Bombyx mori: one gene and its partner. The protein of the gene in region 2 purifies or fractionates together with the protein of the main gene of each other region. This does not show direct contact. Links are inferred from orthologs where the notes say so. Each region holds a gene or a part of one and is shown on either strand. Other genes may lie near its edges. The genes, in order: multifunctional methyltransferase subunit TRM112-like protein and putative methyltransferase WBSCR22-like protein.

What was found.
Region 1: the proteins of putative methyltransferase WBSCR22-like protein (region 2) and multifunctional methyltransferase subunit TRM112-like protein purify together in Homo sapiens (affinity purification with mass spectrometry; 5 studies listed by BioGRID and IntAct, counting the BioPlex papers as one, with this or other methods). This does not show direct contact. The link is inferred for Bombyx mori from reciprocal best matches to the Homo sapiens genes BUD23 and TRMT112.

Annotation. Positions count from the first base shown.
Region 1 is NC_085117.1:12,727,203-12,734,841, forward strand, and holds multifunctional methyltransferase subunit TRM112-like protein, read right to left. Parts: upstream 3,678-7,639; 5' UTR 3,492-3,677; coding exon 3,114-3,491; 3' UTR 2,749-3,113; downstream 1-2,748. Other genes in the region: DIS3-like exonuclease 2, read left to right, coding at 4,831-7,334, 7,587-7,639. UniProt on the Homo sapiens protein: Acts as an activator of both rRNA/tRNA and protein methyltransferases. Together with methyltransferase BUD23, methylates the N(7) position of a guanine in 18S rRNA.
Region 2 is NC_085122.1:5,819,199-5,828,165, forward strand, and holds putative methyltransferase WBSCR22-like protein, read right to left. Parts: upstream 4,895-8,967; 5' UTR 4,676-4,894; coding exon of another isoform or gene 4,637-4,675; intron 4,556-4,636; coding exon of another isoform or gene 4,549-4,555; coding exon 4,514-4,548; intron 3,635-4,513; coding exon 3,456-3,634; intron 2,967-3,455; coding exon 2,773-2,966; intron 2,706-2,772; coding exon 2,516-2,705; intron 2,401-2,515; coding exon 2,213-2,400; 3' UTR 2,161-2,212; downstream 1-2,160. Other genes in the region: ATP synthase subunit C lysine N-methyltransferase, read left to right, coding at 1,564-2,160.

The DNA of each region.
Region 1 (7,639 bases), on a different chromosome or scaffold from region 2:
TTTAAGACACTTTCTAGACTAGGACTGTTTAAACTGCATACCTTTGTAGGCGAATTAAGTTTACTACAAAAGCTGGAGGGCCGCAGAAAATTTTATTTTCAAAAATATTTTCCAGTTATTCCCCAACAATAGTAAAATATAGCTTCACTTTTAAATGATGCCTTGGGAATAAATGGAAAGAATGGAAGAATAAAAAAGATAAATAATACCTAATTTTAATACTGATTATATGTTTTGACAAAGAATAATATTAACCAAGCTATTTTTTACTAAAACTATTTTCTGATTAGAGCATGCGTCGCGGGCCTCATCGTAGTAAATAGTATCTCAAATATTAAGTGCATAATCTATGATAATGTACCCAATAATCTGTTCAGTGTATTTGGTGATTTCGTGTGATAATTACAACAGTTTACCGGCACATCAAATGGCAAAAAGGAAGGAAACAGATTTCTTTTGAACAGACCAGATCAAGATCCAAATTTAGAACAAGACCAGAAATAAGTAAGCTGGATGTACCAAATCTACGCCAAAACACGAAGATCGTTCGTTAAAATATTATCGAACCCAAATCGACGTTTGCCTGGGCTCCATTATGATCCGTCGATTTTTGGGTGGGGGTGGGGGTAGGGAGGGGATAAGGGTTTACCCCCTGCATCATCCCCACCCCGCGGAACCCCATGGTTATGAAGATTTTCACGGTTAATGTTTTGAGTTTAGATTACCACTATTTAGTCAACATAGGGTTAGAATTCCAATTATGGTCTATCAATTTTGAGTCGAGGAGGGAGGGGTATAAGGGCTTATCCCCTGCACCATCACCAGCCCACATCCCCATGGTGATAAAGATATCCATTGTTAATTGTTTAGATTAAAATAGCATTATTTACTTAAACTCGAAGGGAGCTAAGAAACCGCCTTATCTCCGACGCTGCGGGAAGAGCAGCCCTTCCGCCCTTGCGTGCCGAAGCACGGTCACTCACACTCCGCTCGCAGCTTCGGCTTGATGGACCAGCCTCAGCCGCTCCCCCTCGCGCTGTTCCCATGTTCCGTCACAGCGGCCGAGGAGTGCTCTCCCTCCGCGCCTCCGGTTTTTTATATACACTAGGGGTAGGGCAGACAAGACCAGGTGGAAAGTGGGATGCTCTGATTCGGTTTTGGATATTTTTCGGATATCGAAAATTTTATTACTAAAACACGAGCAATTTTATTATTGTTATATTTAATCTTATTTAAAAATATATTTTAATACAGACAGTTATAAAGACGCTATAACAAAATGCGTTAGCTCACGTTCCGTTTCATAGTGTAAACATTATTTCGTTACATTTTGTGTACAAAAGTCAATATAGTTGCTTAATACAGCAACAATTACTGTGCACATTAATTAGAACAAAATGTGATTAAATTAAAATATATTTCTGTAATAAAATACATGTTTACCGTGAATGAAACTCGAAACGTCAACTTTGACGTGTACCTTGCTTAAACCTAGGCATAGATTATACACATAAAGGTTTCCTACTTCAGTGGTACCTTGACGATTTTTCAAATTTGTACTTAGGGAAACTTTAAAAAATTATATTTCGTAAACCGTGAGTTTCCGCAACTTGAAAATTTGCAAAAAGCTTTCTATTTATGATTGCTATCTACAAAAAAATTGTGAACTTCCAAATCGACGGACCATAAAGGAAAGCTTAGCCCCCGATAAGACAATGACCCCAAACATTCAAAAAAATTATCTCTGATGTTCTTAGAGCTAAAACGAAATAAAGAAATTTTGTATCAAAAATAAAAAATCATTCTCAGTACATTGTGGAAATATTTACAAAGTGAATAGAAGTTACTCTGACTCCGAATACTTTGTTAAATTAATCCAAAGAACGAGGCAAATAATAGGGGCAATTTCATACTTTAGCTCCTAATATTTAATGAAAAGTATTTTATTTTATTATTTATTTTCACTATATATATTTTACTGCTTGATTTCATTCAGATTTAATTGTAATAAATAATGGCTTGTGTGTTTTAATGACGTTTATATTTAAATTACCCTAGTATTTCCAAACTTTTGAGTGGTAGTGTATATAATGCAAACGCACTGTAATTATACTCAGAGTTTAGAGTAACAGCTTTCTTTTCATGTACTAATTTTAGTTATATTTTGTAGATTATAGCAGTCATGTGATTGGCTTCAAATCTATAATTCTTATCATTTATAATTTAATTTAAAAGCCATTACAGCCATAAAAGATGTAATTATACTATTACAGGTCGAAGTCTCAATTACTTACAATAGTGTCCTAGCTTTTAAACTAGTATGAAGTTATCAGTATTAACGTCCTTGAGGATACAACTAAGAAGTACCATCTTGTTTAAGGTACAAGTTGAAAAAGTGTCCGCCTGTATACAGCAGGTTATTGTTTGAAGCTCACTAAAATAGTATTAGTACAGGTAGTGGTAATTGAATTAATATAGCAGCTTTAAATAGAGTAAAGTGTGCAGTAAAGGCTATATTCCAATATACACTGCGAGGACTGTTCAGTCCTCTTACTGGGGCGAAATTCGTTCCGTTGACTGACAGTATACAATCACCGTATCATAGGGAAATATATAATGTCAGAAATTGTCACCATTTTTCTACTGTGAACACTGGTATTTTCTAAGTAAGGTGCCCTCAGTGCTTTGTACATGTTATCACGTTTACAGTACATAACCTCATTTCAATAATTCAGTTAAGTTATTATATAAATTGAAAAACAATATTTTCTTTATTGAAAGGATACTTTTAGTATACAACATATGCGTAAGAAAGTTTTCCCCAAATATTTATCAAGAATCCTGAAGCAGCCTCATACTGATTTTACCTATTAAGCAACTTAAAATTTAGTATACAAGGATTACATAAAAATCTTTCACAGTAAATTATATTGTAGAAATTATAAAGTAATGGTACATTTCTTAAAATATTTAATATGAAACAAATTTACATGCACCATAGCACTTCTTTACATAAAAAATAAAACAATCCTATGTAATGTTACTGCAATAAAATTAATGCTTAAATAAAAAATTTGTTACTAATATTTTTAGTACAGGCTCTAAATTGTGAACTACTGCACTTCAGCTTCATTTAATAGCATATTAGGAATTCCTTTAGAAATCGGAAATTGTCTTCCAGATTCTGGACAAGTCAAGTGTCCCTCTTCAACTTCCACCTCTAACAAGACTTTATGAGCTTTCTTCAAAAACTCTTCGTTTTCATCATACTTATTTTCTAAAGATCTTGGCAGACCATCACTGTGGCCGATGCTATCAGCGGCCACCCATAATACTTCCCAATCCAGCTTTGGTATTACACGACTAATAAATTCAGGATTAAAATCGACTTCTTTAACTTTAATGTCTGTCGCGTTAATTGCAAGAGGATAGCCAGTCACAACACCTTTCAAGCATTTCGAAGTGAGCATATTGTGGGTAATTAGTTTCATTATTATATTTGTATTATGCAACTTCAGTAGGAATTGAAGTCTTGACAATAATAGCTTTTCACGAGTAGAACCAAGCGATTAAGATTATTGGCACTTTTTTGTAGAATTTTCTTAAAACATATTTGTTATTATGTACTTTACGTGCATAATTAGATATTTGAGGTTATGTTTAGTTTTTGTTCAGTTGTGTAGTGAGTAGTGACCTGACAGCAGTAAGTAGTGGTAGTTTTATTTTTCCAAATGGAAAGGCAAAGGTATCACACCATACAGCCTAGTCTGTTATAGATTTTTTTTTTTTTATGAAATATATTATGAAATGAAATGAAGCTGATTAATTTAATGGCATGGCATGAAATGAATTGAAATGAGATGAGATGATAATTATGATATGGGTATTTTTATGAAAAATGATGATATGGAGTGAAATGAAGAATTTGAGACATTAATCAACTGGGATGAAATCAAATGAAATGAGATGAGATGAAATATAATCTCAGTAAAATGTTGGTCGTTTACTGAGATTTTTTCAATGGACGTTTTGGATGATCCCGATAAGTTACGTCCAGCGGCTTTATTTTATTTTCCCACATTTGTGCACTTTCAAAGATACTAAACAGTTAATAAACCACCGTTATTATGCATTTCAATCTGAAGAAACACTAAATAGACAAAATAAAACAAATCACACAACTTCACTCCTCGCGTTCCCGCGAAAAAGTTGTAACTTGTTCACCTTTTCAGTCGTAGCTCGAGGTGATACTCGCGCAGAGTATAATAAGAAAGTAATAAAATAAATAATGGATTAATAGTAATTTGCCCGAGTCTCTTCAATGTAATCTATTAGTCTATTATTGTTACTACTTTTCGAAAACTGGTACAAAATTTTTGCGCCTCGAGGCGATAAGCCAGGTTCACCGAACGTGTAGGCTCAGCATGGAGAACTTACTAGCACTAGCTTTAGTTAGAGCGGTGCTTCTCTGAATCTACCACTGGACCAGAATCGAGATTCTCTGAAAAGAACTGGCGAGAAACTCAGTGGGCTCTGTCTGACGGTCAATTTACTAGCTTGACCTTTCTTTGCATTCGGAAGGGATAAGCATTTATATTAAATTGTTGAAAAAAAATATATTTACATTTTTTAAATTAGAATGGATATAAGGTCTTGTAGCCGTTGGCCGTACATAAATATTTAAAAATATTAAATTGAGTATAATTCTGTGTAAAATTATTGTAAATATTGAGGAGAAATGTAATCATTCACATTTATAGACAAAAGCAGCAGGCTTGTAATACTCCATACCTGCTTATAAGTATTTTACAGTTTTTATTTTTTTGCGCCATGTCAAGCCATAACTCATTAAGAATGGATGCAGCATGCAGTGAACCAACAACATCGGTGGTCTCCACGTCGTCAGTACCACAAAAAACATCAAGTGACAAAGCAATAAATGAAAACAAAGTCGATTCACCTAAACGAACACCCAAAAAATCAAAAAAAAAACAAAGATCAGAAGTTACAGTACCTACCATGGTATTCAACAATTCATCAATTAACGATGTTTCCAATAAGTGCCAGAATTTGCAAATTGAAAGCGACAGTGATAACGGGGAGACAGAACAGGTAACCCCAACTACCCCGTCGAAAGGAAAAAACGCCAAGAAAAAGGAACGACTAAAAAAGTTGGAAATACCTACGGTACCAGTGAATAACTTTAACAACACAAACAGAGTACAAAATTCACAGTATTTATTTAACTATTTTGGGTCTCCTAGAAATAGTACATTCTCTGTGCATGAATATTTTACCCAACAGATTACACCATTGTATGCAAGTACCAGCTCTAGGTATTTAGAAAATCTGTGTCACCATCCACAATATCAATATATGCAGAATATCCAACACATGAGAGATATTTTACAAAGCCCAGAGCATGTTGCTAGTGTACCTATCACTCCATTAATATTATCAGGACAGAGATCAGAACCTGTTTGTATTCCAAATTCTACATTTATTCATTCTGAACCTAGCACTCCAAGGTTCATAGAGAATGCATTGCAACACCCCTTATTGAATCCATCATTTTCAAGACAAACTGGTACAATACAAATTGGACAGCTCAGACTGAGGCATAATTCAGAAAACAATTGCTTAACTAAAACTCTTGTAAATGGTGACAAGAAATTTGATGCATACCTTTCTGGAGAAGATGTTGAGAAAGGTTTAAAGAACAATATGCTTATTGAAGGTGTTCTGAGGATAAATCCAAAACAATATCAACATTCATATGTTTCAAGTCAAGACCGGAGTCAACAAGATATATTAATAGACGGTATTAAGAATAGAAATCGTGCAATGGAAGGAGATGTAGTAATAGTACAATTAGTTGAAAATGAACCTGAAGAAAACGTTACTAATCCTGAACAAAAAAGAGGGAAAGTAGTTTTTATCAAGGAAAAAGTTCATACTAGAACTTGTATTGGTTCACTCAAACTAATGCATGACAAAAATAGACAAAAAGCTATGTTCGTGCCTCGAGATCACAGAGTACCAAGAATAAATATACCATTTACTTCATGGCCAGATAATTTTTATGAAGATGCCAAGAAATATGAAAACACATTGTTTGTTGCAAAAATAATAGATTGGTCTGATACAAGGTTTGCTGTAGGAAAAATTATGGGTAATATTGGTAAATCAGGAGACATGGTCACTGAAACAAAAGCAATATTAGCAGAAAATGATTTAGATGTTACTGCTTTTGGCTCTGAATACAAGGATTTGTATCCTCAACTTGACTTTACAATTCCCGATGAAGAAATAGCAAAGAGAGAAGACTGTCGGATGTTATGTATCTTTAGTATTGATCCATTTAATTGCCGTGATATTGATGATGCAGTCTCTTGCAAGGAACTAGAAAATGGTAATTATGAGATCGGAGTCCATATTTCTGATGTTACATATTTTTTAAATGAAAACACTCCGCTTGATGTGAAAGTTGCAGAAAAAGCTACAACAATATATTTGGTAGAAACTGCTTACCACATGCTTCCAGATGATTTGTGTATGCTTTGTTCTCTATTCCCTGGTGTAGATAAACTAGCTTTCTCTGTTTTTTGGGAAATGACCAAGGATGCTAAAGTTATTAGTTACAGGTTTGCTAGGACTGTTATAAATTCATGCTGTCAGTTGGCATATGAACATGCTCAAGATGTTCTTGATGACAAAGAGGATGCTCAAATAAAATTTCCAGAAATGTACAATGGTTTTGATTACAAAGATGTGCACAAATCAATAAAAATTTTAGGCAAATTGTCAAATATTCTTCGTGCAAATAGATTTGAGAATGGTGCATTGAGAATTGATCAACCTAAGGCTAGTTTTAGATTAAATCCTACTAGTGGTTTACCAGAGTCATACTGCATATATGAGAGTAAAGAAAGCCATCAACTCATTGAGGAATTCATGTTGCTCGCTAACATGTCTGTAGCTACACGTATTTATAGTGACCACCCAAAACTGGCATTTTTAAGGAGTCATCCACCACCAAGTAAATATATGTTGATGCAGCTAGAAAAGTCTCTAAAACCAATGGGCATAAAATTAGATATCGAATCGGCTGGACATCTACACAGATCTTTACTACCATATGTGGGACCAGACAATACAGACAAAGGAAGAGCCATGGTTTTAAATTTGCTATGTGCAAAACCTATGACAAGAGCAAAATATTTTTGTGCTGCTGCTTGTGATGATGATGAATTTCAACATTATGCTCTGAATGTGCCCCTGTACACTCATTTCACAAGTCCTATTAGGAGATATGCTGACATTATGGTTCATAGGTAAGCTGACTGTAATCTTTAAGCACACATTAAGTGCGCAACTACACTGTTTGTCAATAAATGGCTGCTGCAGTAAGTGCTAGTCACTTACTTTTGACAGATCTAAAACGTGAACCGAGCTTTGACATACTTAATATGGTAAACAAACCGCTTTAAGACATTGTTATGCCATGATATACTTTTGGTTTTTGAAAATGTGTTCTATTTGCACTACTGATACATTTGAGATAACTTTAACTTTGTTGTTTTCAGGCTATTAGCAGCAAGCTTAAATTATAGAGAAACTCCAGCATGGCAGGAAGATG
Region 2 (8,967 bases):
AGCTCTTGTCAATCTTCCTAAAATAAATTTTAATTTTGAAATCCTGAAGAACCACCAAAACGCTAACACTGATATCAAATTTGTAATGGATAGAGATTGGGCAGACTGGCACTATATATACTGCGATGCGTCTAAACACGCACTCTCTGACACAGTTGGAGTAGCTGTTTATCATCAGCAGTATAATATTCACCAAAAGATAAAACTACCCCCCGAAACAACAGTGTTTTCTGGAGAATGTTTTGGTATTCTAAAATCTCTAGAATATATTCTACTTGCAAAACTTAACAAATCCATCATCTTCACAGACTCGAAAAGTGCTCTACAAGCTTTGCAGAAATTTCCTTTCAAATCTTGTTTAACTTGTGTTTATATAATGGACTGTCGACAGCTACTTCTAAATTGTAAGCTCAAAGGTTATGATGTTCTTTTTGTGTGGATACCTGGCCATCACAAAATACTTGGGAATGAAATAGCTGATAAATTTGCGAGAGATGCGATAAATAGTGGTGATATGTCACCTTACAAAAATGTTGTGTCTGACCTTCTTTCCACTCCTAAAGACCATTTACTGAGGTCTTGGGAAAGTATTTGGAATAGCTCTAGCTGCCATAAAGGCCGTTATTATAAAAATATACAGCCACGAATTCCTCTAAAAATGTGGTTCTGTAAAATTAGTCTATGTAAGCTTGCAACCTCCTGTATTATAAGAATGCGATTGGGACATGTTTGTACAGCTTCTCACCTTGCTAAACTCGGTGTCATTAACAACAGTTTGTGTGCTTGTGGCGTTGGTGAGGAGGACTTGAATCACATTTTCTTTGGATGCCTCCTACGTGACTGTTCCTCATTCATAAATTCCCTGATAAACCTCCGGGTTCCTCTTCCCACATCAATCCCTACATTATTAAGTACTATAAATTCTGATTTGTATAACTTGATATCAAATTTTTTATTTAGTAATAATATTAAAATGTAAACAGTTTTAAAATATAATATTCTTTTTATTTATACCCAATCACTATATATTATAAACTCTTAGGCATTATTATATATTATTATCCTATTACATACATATCCTTTCCAAATTTCGAACCTTCCAATTGATTCCTAAATAAAACTGGTTTCCCTACCTTTTCCACACTAGTAGTGGCAAATGCACAAACCGTGCGAGTCAAAATATAAAAAAAAAAAAAAAAAAAAGTGCACCCATAGTGTGACAGTACTGACAGTGTCACAATCACAAGTGTTGATAACACCTAATGTCATACGTCACATTATTATATTAAAAATTTTAATAGTAGTAGTACATAACATAACTAGTACATAACTATTAAGAATACATAAAAGGGTAGGGCTCAAATGAAGAGTTTAAGAGCTTAAATCCAACAGTAAAAATAAAGCAAAAAAAAAAGTTGTTTTAAAAATGAAAAGGATTGTTAATTATGATGTATAAGTCGTCAGTAGGTACTGGAATTCTTGGAGGTTTGCGGGACAATATTATGAAATAGGTTATTCACATTTCTTAAATTTTAAGTGTATTATCTATGATCACATTGCATAATGGAATCGGAATGTATAGAGGATAAAATTTATAATGTTCCGTCAAAGCTGTCACTCGTTGGTAAAATATTAATATACACAACGGGCGGTTTAGCCATTGGTGTCAGCATCGTTTGTATACCTTTTGTGTCTCCAGCAGCAAGGAAAATTTGTTTGCCTTATGTACCTGCAACAACAGAACAGTTACTAGGAGTAACGAAGGCATTAAAGGGCAGAAGAGGCAGACTAATAGATATTGGATCTGGTGATGGAAGAATAGTAATAACAGCAGCCAAAATGGGTTTTAAAGCAGATGGAGTAGAACTAAATCCATTCCTTGTTTATTACTCACGAATATCAGCCTTATTGAATCAAAAATATTATGATACCAGGTTTTATCATTGTGATTTATGGAAATTCAACCTCAAACCTTACAATAATGTTGTAATATTTGGTGTGGAGCAAATGATGCACGATATAGAAAATAAAATTTTAGATGAAACGCAAGAGCGCACAGTAGTGGTCGCGTGTCGATTCCCATTACCAACAATGGTGCCTGTAGAAACTATTGGACATGGTGTAGACACTGTTTGGAAATATGAAGTAAAAATCAGTTAAGTTGCAACAAATTTATTTACTTAGATATACAAAATAATAAACAGTTTTTATTTTAGAATCGACCACTTCTTTTTCTTCCTGTGTATTTAGTGTCAGGTTTTGTAATTTTGCCCTGTTTCCTTCTTCGTTCTTTCTTCTCCAAAATCCAGTCTTTTGAGTTCTTTATAGGTTTTCCTCTTATCCCTTTTGTAGCTTCTCTTTTAGCATATTTAACTTGAAGACTGTCTGGTTCTTCAGTACCTGTAATACAAATTTTGATTTTATTATATAAAAAAGTGGGTTTCATCATTTTTATTAGCATCACACTATAGTATTATTTTAATGTGATATAATTTTATGATATATACAACATTACCTAAAGCCTGAGGTAAAGGACCAACGCCACCAGTCATTAAAACTAAAAAGAACTTCTTTGCTTTGGCAGAATTTGGATAGTCAATTACAACTCCTCCATAAAAGCCAGCTTTCATTGCCTGTGTCGTTAGGAGTTCTAATTGCTTCTCATTCTCAGGGTAAAATTGGAAGACAGCTCGAGCAGACCTTGACTGAAAAAAATAATAATTGAGTTTTTGTATTGAATAATAAATAATACCGTTTTCATAGTTAACTTACCAAACTTGAATATAAAGTGGTGAAGAATTTGTTTAGTCTTTTCACTGGATTATGAGTTTTCTTATCAGCATTAAATAACCATTGTATAGCTGATACGGATACTGCTCCATCAAAGCAACCTGCTCTAAACGGGACACCTTCACCCATATCAGCCAGAACTAAACCACCTTCAGTGTCTCTCTCTACAGCAACATCTACAACATAGACATATTATATATAGTGTAATTTAAGAACCAAAATACTTTTTTGGGCTTTAGGAAACAAGGATATATATCAAAAGGTGAAAGGCTATTCTGTTTATGTGACATTACAAATGCTATTTATTTGGTATTAGTATCTATATTTCAATATTTTTAGTTGAACATCAATTATGTTTACTACTTTCAAATAGCTGAAGAAGCTGTTTTATTATGATTAATTTTCCAAAACTTAAATTTAAAATGGTTCTTCTATAAAATTACAAAAATGTCACTTCAACCCAATAGCCTTTTGGGTTTTAATTTTGTCAGGTTATAATTTGTTCTCTTTCAGTTATTAACAATCTTTATAAGTAGTGAAAACTGAGAAAAAATACAACACCTAAGGTACAAGTCATGTGTCTTATTATGTCTCATTATGTGTCCAATTAAGTCTAGTATCGACTAGGCTACTTTCTGTGGCCAGATGACAAAAATATTTTTTACCAAGCATTGAAGATGATATGTCCATCCCAATCCACATATGTCCATTTTCTTCTAGCACTGTACCAGATAATCCTGAACCACATCCAATATCCAACAACAAGCAAGATGAATCTTCCGGTAATAGAAGTAATTCTAAGCATCTCTCAGTCATTTGTCCTTGGATTTCTATGATCCTGGAGCTAAAATAATCAAACACAATTTTTTCTCAAAAAGAGTTAATAAAAAAAGGAAAGACATTTTTGGAATTAGGAGGGAAGCATTCAGATTGTTCATAATCCAGATCTCACAAATAGTTAGGTTTTTCCTGGATTGTACAATAAACCCCATGCTCAAATGAATTTGGCAAATATTGTCCAACTAGTATCATTAACATTGTAGTACAAGACAATCATTCTTAGCATTTCTACATTTATCGCTTCCTACCTATTCTAGTAACCTTGAGGAGTTATTCCAGATTCACTGAATTAGTAGGTGAGCTCACCAGTCCCAAACTACGACGTTAACACTAGGGTTAGTGTTCGTGTAAGTGCTAGGGTTAGCAAGAGCAGTGCTTCGCAGAATCTACCACCGGATCACAAACGCAACCCACTGAGAAGATCTGGCAAGAAACTCAGTGGGCTATGTCTGTGGGTTAATTTTGTCGCCGAGCCCTTCGTCGTAAGCGACGGGTTCGTCGAGAAACAGGTACTTGTTTTTACTTGAAGTTTGAAAATATCTTTAGTTGCAGTTTAAATATAAAACATTACTGTAGTAAATAAGTAACAGGGGCCATTTAATTAACATTAGATGGGTTGATTGCCTGCAATAATGGTTTCTATTGTAAACTTTATACAGCACTTTACTATTTTAAAATGTAGTATTAAGCCCCCCGAATTCCCACACTAATGAAACTGTAGGACGTTAGACATGGGAAGGTTGTGGATTTTTGTGGTTGTGCTCATTCACCACTATCGCCCACTTACATTATATTTTGGGTTACAACAATTCAGAGACAATTCCATTTGTGCCACCATTAGCAAAAAGGTTAGTATTCGCAATACCTTGTTACTTTTACTTACGTACTTTTGTGTATACTTTCTAGCCTCTTCATCATTATAAAACTAGAACAAAAATAATTCGAATAACAATAGTGCCTTTTTGTTCAAATTTGAAACAATATATTTACATTAGCTTATACTCACAACTTCAGGCGGTGCCTGGTGTTCTGGTCTTTTTGACATCTTACATCAATATAAGGATCACTTTCAAATCAATCAAATTTAAATGAACCTAGTGTTTAGTAAGTATCTACATATGTATGTGCTCGTTAATAAAATGATTTTATGAACTAGGAAGTATGTAGCTTTTTAAAATAATAAGTGTAAAAACTACTTATCTACGGCTTGCTCCACAGACTTAAATATATTTAGTATTGAGTCATTTTACCACTTATAATATGTAGCATTTGACGTTGTCACTTGTCAGTTTTATCTTCATAGTGAGGTAGCCTGCTTAAAAACATCGTTTAATGTGAATAAATCGATACGAACTTGAAACATATTATAATGTGAATTTTTATAATCATCAGGCGAATCCCTGTTCCATTATTATTTTTTCTTTCGTAAATTTAAAGAGCAAAATAAGACAAATACATAATTTAACAAAAATATTACATTTATTCAGTTGAACTATCAGAACTGTTATTAGTATTGTCATCTTCATCACTGCTGTCAGCACTCCGAGATATTATTAATTAATTTTCAATAATATTGTCTATTCTCACATCTCGTTCAAAATCGTATAAAATTATTTTCTTTGTTTTCTCTACGACTTTTCTCCAGTCTTCTATAGTGACTTCTGCACACGCAATTTGTAGCAGTCATCATTTTAGCAGTACTGAAGGGTGGTTCAGTATTGTTCTGCACTGCATGAATATCAAGGTTACTGATATTCATTAATAAAATAACACATTTATTATTACATTTTTATTGTCATTATGGTTTTTAGACAAGGTAACATTTATATTAATATGACAATTTTTTAAATCTAATCAGGGAATTTTTATGCGTGGAATGAGCGCGCCGGCGCCGGCGCGCTCATTCCACGGTTCATCTCAAATATTAAGTGTATTATCTATGGTTCATCCGTTATTAAGCTGACCAAATAGAATAGTCTAATGGATTAGAATATACATACTTTTATGTAATCAAATAAAATAAAATGAACTATTATATATTTTGTCAACATAATAAGATTCATTTTTTTTTTTAAATAAAATATTGCTCTGTTACTTTTCAATGTAACGATTACCTGGCAAATTTTCCTATCATTACAATAAAAAAAATCATTTTATCATTTTGTGTGTTGTAAAATGGCTACTATAGACAGTAATTGTACGGTTTCCAGGTATGTAAGGTGATAGCTGCCCTTTATAAATAAAACAAATGAGGTCCAATTTTACTCCGTATATTGTCACAAGTGTTTGCGGCGTCACAAGTGTCGGGCCGTCTATGTACGACTGACTATAAGCGATGGACAACCGCATGCGCTACTCCTTACAGTATTAGTGATGGTGATGGCCCACCTACTCCAAAAAACCAAAGACTCAGGAAGGTGAAAATAAAAAAAAATATATAAACAGAAATTTCGTTCTGAATGGTTAACTAACAAGGACTTTTCATCTTGGTTAAGTGAGCACCCGACTGATACACATAAAGCTACATTCACCTTATGTGCTGTTAGGTAATATGACAGCTGAGGTAAATGTCTTAAAACGACACAATGAGGGTACAAACCGACAACATAAGGATACAATTAAAGGGATTAAGCAACAGCCTTCAATAGCGAGTGAGCTGCTCGAAGTGGTATCCGGAGGGCGACCCTTGAAGGGCACCGCTGTGCTTTTCGTAGGATTGATGTGAATGCGCCACTTCCAGAACCACTGTCCCGTGGTGGTTACTGCAATCTTGAGTCGCCGATGCAATAGCGACTTCTTCCTACACGAGTAGTAGATACGAAGGGTATATCATTGATATAAAAACTAAATAATAACGGGGAGAGCGCGGATTCCGGCCGTCAGATGATGGGGACGAGAGCGAGTTCCCTCTACTCGATAATTGAGTGCCCAAAGATTTTCCTTGTTTTCTCCCCATTCACCGCTCAATCTCAATCACCCCGTTTTACGGTACTAGGTACCGACCTACTTAAAATCTACAGATTAATAAATTAGATATGTACTGTACTTAAATTAGGGATGGTCTGTAACCTTAGAGACCTGTTCCTGATTCAGTAGCCTGTTACAAAATAACAGACTGTTCCATGGAGTTAAAAAGAAAAATACTAACTTTTTTTTTTTTTTTCCTTCCTAAGCTGATAGCCTTAGGGGCTATTTCAGCGTAACCGTGGCTAGTAGGTGATCTTACGGGGCTCAAACCTGATGACAAATACTATCTCTATGGACTGTTCCAATATAACAGCCCGTTTCAATATAACAGCCTGTTCCAATATAAAGCCTGTTCTAATATAACAGCCTGTTCCAATATAACAGCCTGTTGTGTTGTTACAGGTTTAATGATGTTTTAAGTAGAACATGTTCCACATAAAGGATCAGTTATACATATGAAATGGTTTTAATACATTTTCTGAAATGAAAACAATCCTTCATGCTTTCTCAGGCTTAGGACTGACAACTTGATTTATTAATATTAATGATATATGAAACTAGTTTTGTTTGTTTTGTTTTGAAATGTGCATGCTTCTTAATATTATTGCTATCTTTTTCTATTACAATAAGCGAAAGGAAAAAAGAACATGTTACAAACTGTTTGGGAACAGGATGTATATGCTATATTTTTCTTTCTGTACGTGAAAAGGGAAAAGAACTTGTTCCAAACTGTTTTGTTTCTGGCTGTATGCTGTGGAATAGAACAACGCAACATATGGAATATTGTGGAACAGTTCTTTCGGTCTATAGACAACAGTTCCAAGTTTTTTTATATAGACGAACCTGTTCCGTTTGACTGTTCCGATATATACGCCTCACCCCTACATTTTTTTTTTTTTTTTTGTCAGGAGGAAATCGCCGGACTTCCGCCCTTCACTGGGGATGGAGGGCGAGGCATGTCGGAGTCGAACCGACTAAAACCTCCTGTCTCTCAACAACCAACGTCCAAACCTCGCATGAGACAAAACTCATGAAAAGGCAAGGGGGGGAAAATTTGGCCCAAACCAAAGGTTTGGCCTTTGGAAACCCAAGCCGTTGGACGTAACTTCCCGGGATCCTCTAAAAAGTGCACTGAAAAAATCTCAGTAAACGACCACCATTTTACTAATATATTTCATCCTATATCATCTCATCTCATTTCATTTAATTTCATCCCAGTTGATCAATGTCTCAAATTCTTTATTTCATTTCACTCCATATTATCATTTTTCATAAAAAATGTCCCATATCATATCATATCATCTCATTTCAATTAATTTCATTTCAATGTTTCATATTAATCAGCTTCATTTCATTTCAAAATATATATAAAAGATTACGCTGTATGGTGTAATACCTTTGCCTTTCCATTTGGAAAAATAAAACTATAGTATTTTTATCATGGAGTTAATATGTACCTACAACTGGAGTGCTGTCTAATGCCGAGAAATCGGTCTCGAAAGAGAATACTTTTTGGTCGCGGTGTCCTTGTCTAATGTGGTGACCATATATAATTTAATTATAGGACAAAATTATACACATGCATCAGTTTTGAATTTACCTTAAGTAATTCTGTGTAACCCTATGTAAATACAAAACACGTGCTTGCAACCTTTTATTTATGTAAATTCAATTCTAAACATTGCTTCGTCGTCATGGTGATTTTTTTCGACGGTTTTTTTTGGAAATTGCTGCGTTGTCGAAAATCTAGCACTGAGTTTTATTATAAACATCATTACCTCAGTTCTATTACTTAAACTTCCACAAACTCATGTTTAACGTCCGAATACTCAACCGCGACTTAAATAATATATTATGTTGAACTTAATTACGCAATTCCTACTTTAATGTACTGGCTAAGTGGGCCGTGCAAATTAATATTTGACACACTGAGTGAGACACTGAACAGACATGGTCTGCGCATATCGGGTGCTCTTTTCCTACATTCACATCTTTAATTGATTTAAAATTGCTTGTATTTTTACTTCTGTGCTATTTTCATGACACGTGTATATTAGGTCTACTAGTTACATTTTAGGAAATAAAACACAATGGGTAATAAAATGAAATGAACTGAAATTCATTTATTTGTTATATGTAGACAATTAAATAACTCTTAAATGACAAGTCAATACACATAACACGATACACATAGTACTTGATCTCTATTTACAAAATATTGGTTATACATATTATTATTATTAAGTTCAGTTAATTTTCTGTAGTCTTATAATATAACATTTCCTCTATTTTAAGTAAATTCTTTTTTTTTCAACGAAATACATAATTTATTTTAATCAATATCTAAGTGGACCATCAGTATCATTAAAA